Linked DNA regions of Tribolium castaneum. The protein of the gene in region 2 interacts with the protein of the main gene of each other region in a pairwise test. Links are inferred from orthologs where the notes say so. Each region holds a gene or a part of one and is shown on either strand. Other genes may lie near its edges.

Region 1 (4,024 bases), on a different chromosome or scaffold from region 2:
GTGTAGGTGAACTTTCAAATTTAATACGCGATTTTTTTTTAATTATAATGCTACAACTAATCTAAGATATTCAATAAAACTGCAAAAACCTAGAGAATTAGAACGCATTTATAATTTCCTAATATGGATGTGTAGTACAGCGCTTTTAAAACTTTATCACTTGCGCACTTGCGCTGGAAAAATTGTTCTCCAATACGAAAGGTATTTATTTTTTGGGAGATGGTACAACTTGGAATTACCTGTACTCGTCCATGATTAGACAAAACAGAAATGTAACAAGTAAAAAATGGCGCCCAACGTTGAGTACACGCATTTTTCGAAAACAACGCATTGCCGTTTAAAATAAACCCCAGTAAACTTACAAACAAGCTAAAAAATGGCGCCCGACGTGCCACCACCTCCATTTTGCATTGGCAACGTTCTGAAACAACAACCGTGCGATTAAATAGGCGCCCAACGTGGGGTTCATAGTTGGGAAATTGCCCCCCAATTTCAAGGACAAGGACCACAGGATGCTATATTGCAAACTCCTCACAAAACAAATCTTTTATTATCTAATCTTTAGTCAACCGTTGCTTCTATCCAAGTACATTCACAAAAAAATAAGATAAAAAAGGCAGTGACCACTTTAAAACAAACTGTGCCTTTCTACACGTTTCCGACAATTACAAAAAAAGGAAAAAATAATAAATAAAAAAACAAATAAATTAATAGGCTAACCACGGATGATGCTTTAGCGATTCTTTCGATCTGTCACCGTAATCGTAAGTAATCTCATCGCCGGCCTTGATATCATCCTTTGCAATAAGTACAAGCCGGGGCTTATTATCCACCGCTACGGTCCTGGTGATGAGATTACCGTTCCGCGAATGGTTCACCAATCTCCCCAACTTACCACTTTCGGCGGTCGCATCCACACTGAAAAATCACAATTAAAACACAATTAATTGCAATTATTTCAAATTACCAATACTGTTGATTGTTATGTTTAAAATAATACATGTAACACCCAGTATTTAAATCTTGGGCGTATTTCAATTCGCGTCTTTTCGCTTCGTTAATGTCGATGAGGTCGCCACTGTATTCAACTACGAAATCGCCTTTGGTGAAAGGGCGCGAAGTGACCACACCGCGACCTTTGTCCGAGAAAATCCTGACCTCGAGACCTTCTTCAACGCCGTTTCGTAACAACTCCTCTAAAGTTCTTTGTTTTTCTTCCATGACCGTCTTTTTCGTTTTGCGAACCGAACGGCGCACCGGAAAGTAGTCGGTGACCTTGTGGTTGTTGTCCTTGGGGTCGGTTGACAGCTGACAGTTCAACCTTTAATATAGTAAAAAATACAAGTGAAAGAAATGTGAAATATGAGATTGAGATTGCAATTGAACATATTTATAAAAATTCATTTGAAATACAGTGAAACCTCTATAATTCGTTTGCTTTAAGTACAGGGTGCTGCATTTTGAATGTCCGAATACGGGATCTTCGAAATTAAGAAGTTAAATAATTTTGGTCAAAACCTCATCTCGCTATCGTCTTTTGTTTTCGACTTATAAACAGAAGTTGACATTTTAGCGAAATCTTAAAAAAAATCATATCTTCCTTATTATAAAAGATACACATTTGAAACAAAGACATTATAGAGGCACTTTTTTCAGAGAATCTAATAATGTTATAAGCGATTTTTTTCAACCATTCGGTTAACTGTAATAACATAAAGTTGTATTTGTTTAAATAGGAATCATAGTTGGCTATGACATTTTCGAAAAGCCTATTTTTTTCTGATTTGATATGTCTATTTGTGTAATACATTAATTTTAAATATTTAAGAAAAAACAAAACATTTCGCTTTTTCTTTATAGTAGGCCATGAAATTTTTTTGGATTTTTAATTAAAACTATGAAAATTGTATTACACAACAAGTATTTATAATTTAATGATGTTTTAAACCCTAATTAATTCAAAAACAGCATAATAAATTATTATTAGATCAAATTTGTGCATTTAATAAAAAATATTTGTTTTTATATTTAAAATGGCAAGCTTACGTTGTCATTCTATTTTCCAGTTTTAAACATGAAATGTCGGAAGAAGAAAAATCTTATTAATTGTAAAATTGCGTATCAATAAAACTTTATTTTACAAAAAAAATGTCAACCCAAACAACAAAATCAAATTCCATCTGCGGTAAAAAATACATAACATTACCAACGTCACCTCCATTGAACTTCATTAAATCATAAAAAAGTGTCATCAAATGGTAGTGACACATCGTTTGCAATTTTCTGCACATTTTCATGTAATTAAAATCTGCGACGCTCGTATTTGTTCAATTGAAAATAACTTTAACTTAGCTTATTTTTATAATTTCACATTTTTTACTTTAATAACCGTTCACAAAATTTCTAGATTATTCACACCTTTTATGTGAAATAATTTTTCCATGGCCAATTACTTTCAAATATTTTAAATATATTTTTTATCAAAAATATTAAAAATATCAAACTGTATTTATATTGTTTTGAGTTCAGAAAAAAATAAGCTTTTCGAAAATGTCATAGCCAACTATGATTCTCATTTAAAAAAATTAAACTTTGTTATTACAGCTAAACGAATGATTAAAAAAAATTGGATTTTTTGCTAATAAACAAGAAAAAATAATCTAATTTTCAATATAATTTAGTGCTTTTTCGACCGGTGAAATCTTAACCATTATAAAATGATTTGCTGTTTATTTCAGAGGAAATAATTGAGGTTTTGCTTGAATATTGTAAGGAAATAGAAAAATTGACATTTTCGACTTTATTTATTGGCTTTTGATTCGGTAAATAATCAAAAAAGGCAAAAATAATTTCATTTTTCGATAAATATGTGGTTTTTTGGCCTATTTTACCTTTATTAATTTAATAAATGAACGGTACGTGTTCAGCTGAGTATTTTATTTTTTAAGTATATAATTACAACATTGACAAGGAAAAAATTACACTTTTTTGACGTAATTTGCTGATTTTTCTCCTCGTTTTTAACAAAACTTTCCGCGAGAATCGTGCTTATGATAAAATCGAACTAAAACGTTCGAAAAATAATATTATTTGATGATTTTTCCGAAGGTTTTAGTAGGTGAAATCTCCGCAAAAAACCCAAATTTAAGATTTAAGATCATGCCTTAAGGCTCAAAAAAAAATAAAATTAAGACCATTTAAAAAAAAGTTAAACTTTTAAAATTTTTAAAATCAAGTAAAACAAGCAAAATATAATGAATTTAGATATTTTCTGTAATTTTTAGACAATATTTTGCAAAAAAAAAGTGTTCTCTGGTTCAACAAATCAACTTATATCAACAAAAATCGTCGGTTAGACTAAAGTAAGGTGATTTGAACAATTGAGCAATTTCTCTGGGTTTTAGTAAGGAAATGTAACTATTAAAAAAAAACTAATGCAAAAACCGTCGTTTTCAATAAAAATAAAGATATTTGAGGTATTTCAAAGCAACTATTTAAACAATAAATCGTTCGAAATCCACGTATTTCAGTGGAAATCCAGTAAAACAAAAAAATCACATCTATCTCCATCAAAATTTCAATTTCTTAACCACTTTGAGCGAAAAATTTATCTAAACATGCAAAAAATCCAAGACACACCAATTTAAGTTAAATCTGGTAAATTTTCAGCTTGTTTTTAACGAAATTAAGTAACTGCGTTTCCTGCTGATAGTAGTGCTAAATGCTAAAACATGAATAAAGCAAAAATAATGTAATTTTTTTTCTAAGGCAATTTAGAGATTTTCGGACCGATTTAGTAAAATCTTACCATTGTAAACAAATTTACTGTTTTCTTGGCTCATTTTAAAGAAAATAAGAAAATTGAGAGTTCCAGGCTAAAGAGTGTGAAAAATTCTAAGGAAATAAAGTCTTTTTATTTTATTTTTATTTCATTTATTTAGTCACTCGGTACAGTTTAACAAATTTTCAAGAACAAAATGTGCTTTTATACTCATGCAATCTCATGCATGTTTCGCATTTCTGA
Region 2 (3,057 bases):
ACAAAACGAAAGTCACTGTTTTCAATTGACGTTTGATAAAAAAGGACTTGTTACCTAATAGCCGAGTACTGTTTTTAAAACGTTTTTTGTATTTCTGTTCATTACTATCATTGTTAGTTGTCCTCATCATGTCTTTGGGGTTCGTTCAGAGACGTTTCATGAGCAGCGCGCTCCAAAAATGGGCGTACAGCATCTCCGGGTTCAATAAATTGGGGCTCATGAGAGACGACTGTTTGGACGAAACCGCCGATGTAAAGGAAGCACTTCGCAGACTGCCACAGCAAGAAGTAGACGCCCGCAATTACCGCATCCTTCGAGCCGTTCAATTGTCAATCCAGAAAGACATTCTCCCCAAAGACCAATGGACTAAACTGGAAGAAGACCGCCTTTACCTGACCCCAATCGTACAACAAGTGGTCAAAGAGAGAGAAGAGCGCGAGGAATGGGAGAAAAATTATTAATAGTTTGGTGTTTCGTAGTTGTAAATTGTAAAAAATAAATTATTAAAAGTAGCACTTTATTTTAGTTTAAAAAATACAGAACGTGAACAAATGAGTAAGAACGTGAATATTGGACTCAAATTAAATAGTCTAGTTTTCATCCTCTTCAATTTTGGGAGCTAAGTAAAACCTAAGGTGTCCAAGATCGGGGATCTGGTACTCGACCACGAGTGGGACGTTGTCAGACATGGACAACTGGACCTGAGACGCCAGAGGAGTAGCTTTCGTGAAGGAATTCAAATACTGGCAGGCGAAAGTTAGGCTCACAGGTTCCTGCATTTCGATCGTTACCGACTCCTCTTCCTTCTCAAAGTTGTTAGTTTGAGCGATTTTCACGTTCGCAGTTCCAATATCGCCGCCAGTGGAGAATTTAACTCCTTCTTTCGTGCACGAAATCATGATGGATTCCCCAAACTGGGCCAAATCCTTGCATATCCTGGCAAACTCGCCAGAAGGCATGCGAATAACGCAGGAGAAATCCGTCTCAGGAATCCCCAGATGCTCCTGGTCCAAATTCATGAGTTTCATTTCGTAATCGGAGATTTTCTCCTGCTTTTTGGCTTCGAACATGAAGGTGACTATGTCGGCATCGTCCTGGGCCTTGATCGTGACCGTGTCTTCGTTGTTCGCACATTTGAATATCTTTGCCATACTGTTGAAAAAATTATGAATAAGACAATTGGTGCTTAAGCTTGCTACTTACTTAGCCAGATTCATGCCCATTGTTAAGTTGCGGTCGCATCTGTATTTATCGAAACCATCGGATCGCAACATAAGGGACACCAGAGAGACGTGGGAATTGTCCATGGCCTGGAGCTGGATCCCCGACTCGGAGCAGTCAAAGGAGGCTTCATTGAGAAGGTCCTTGATGGCATCCAGGATTTTCTTGAAGGTGGCACTCGCCGTCAAACGTGCTTCGAACATTTTGCCGGTTAACACAGAAAATAACGACACAGAACTGAATTAACACAAAGGGCAGTGCACCAAGTGAGCCGACAACTTCCTGGAAATGCGAGGGAAACTGCAGTAAATGCGCGCCAATTTCTTGGGGATTTTCAAATTCGTCAATGTGGATCTGCTGAGGCAACGTGATTGGCTGATACCGATCACATGACTTTCAAGAAATTGTGAATAATCCACGTAATTGTGCTAAATTTATTTTAAATATAGTTACTTGTTGTGACACAAGTTTTGCGTCCTGTAATACTCCTATATTGGCTTATTTTAGTTAAATAAAAAAGCTGGAATACGGGGGTTTGAATTTGGGGCTAATTGTTTTGTGTGGTTGTCGTCATGGGGGTGAAAGTGGGATACGCGCATTGGCAACACGAGAGTATAGGCCAGGGGGGTTTTGCACTCCCGGGGAGATGAAAAGGGACGACCAATGACGACTGCTTATTTTAAAACAAGCGCGTATTTATTAGGGATTTCATTAAATTATATTTTTTGACGTAACAATGACATCTACGCTTGCGCGCAGATCGCTAAAAAGATCGCGCCGAAAATATCGCGCCAAAAGTGTTGTTTTGTCACTCATCGTTCAACGTGTTACCGGAAGTATGTAGCAATTATTTGTTTCATCGTTTAATCAAAGCAAAAATTCTGATTACAGTTCGTTAGTGAGTCAATTCCTGGTGTTGAGCGCCGACCAAAAAGATAAGTATCTCTTGTTTTGTTAATATAACCTCATCTTTTTGATTGGTGTTTCTTTCTATTTTAAAGGCATTGGTCTCTGGGCTGGAGTGACGGATTTTTGATTTCTACTACTCAAGCGAACTTTAGTCATGGCTGGTTATCGCAAATATTCCTGCAAATACCCCGGATGCACCAGTGGTTATGTTCCCAACAAAGGACATGCCAACAAGCATTTCTTCACCTTCCCTAAGAATCTAAAGCTTCACGAATTGTGGAGGAATGCCTGCAAAATTGAGGATCCTGTAAGTTCAAAATTTTGGCGTTTTCTCGATTTAGGGTATTTCAGAATTTACTTTTAAGTTTCTTATTTGCGCTCGAGTGTGTCAGTGCACTGCATGTACCTCCTCGTGGTCGTAGCGTGGGCAACTGTTTGCTGACAGACAAGGTAAAAGTCATTGCAAAGAAGGCCTTATTTTGTTTTAAGTCTGGAGCAGACAGGCAAAACATGCCAACACTAACTGATTTAATTTTTTGATAATTTTTGTATAATTAAGAAATAATACAATACTTTAATTTTTTGAAAAATTTAATTTGTTATGTTACTCAAGTGTACAATAAAAATGTTAACAAAATCTGTGTTTTATTACCCCAAAACAACTTTTTTTGTAAGTTTCATTGCAAATTTTGTTTAAAATAAATATAAAATGTTTTCATTTCGTTTAAAATGAAAATATTTTTTTTTATTTTAAACAATTTGCAATAAAACTTGTAAGATAAAAATAATAAAAAACAGAATATAAAAGGAATTTATTCAAACGTGGCGCTTTACCGTGGTAGTAACGCACTTCAGCACCAGAGGCGCTGTATTCTCGTGTTGCCAGTGATTTACTAGGGAATTATCACTTCTTAACCTTTACTGTTC

What was found.
Region 1: the proteins of PCNA (region 2) and Set8 interact in a two-hybrid assay, tested with the Caenorhabditis elegans proteins (2 studies listed by BioGRID). The link is inferred for Tribolium castaneum from reciprocal best matches to the Caenorhabditis elegans genes pcn-1 and set-1.

What each region holds. Positions count from the first base shown.
Region 1 is NC_087401.1:9,679,007-9,683,030, forward strand, and holds the end of Set8 (histone-lysine N-methyltransferase Set8), read right to left. Parts: intron 1,322-4,024; coding exon 968-1,321; intron 919-967; coding exon 708-918; 3' UTR 532-707; downstream 1-531. UniProt on the Caenorhabditis elegans protein: Histone methyltransferase that specifically monomethylates 'Lys-20' of histone H4 (H4K20me1). H4K20me1 is enriched on hermaphrodite X chromosomes and during mitosis. Involved in dosage compensation by repression of X-linked gene expression in hermaphrodites.
Region 2 is NC_087396.1:13,479,236-13,482,292, forward strand, and holds PCNA (proliferating cell nuclear antigen), read right to left. Parts: upstream 1,549-3,057; 5' UTR 1,425-1,548; coding exon 1,204-1,424; intron 1,153-1,203; coding exon 591-1,152; 3' UTR 501-590; downstream 1-500. Other genes in the region: cytochrome b-c1 complex subunit 7, read left to right, coding at 129-461. UniProt on the Caenorhabditis elegans protein: This protein is an auxiliary protein of DNA polymerase delta and is involved in the control of eukaryotic DNA replication by increasing the polymerase's processibility during elongation of the leading strand.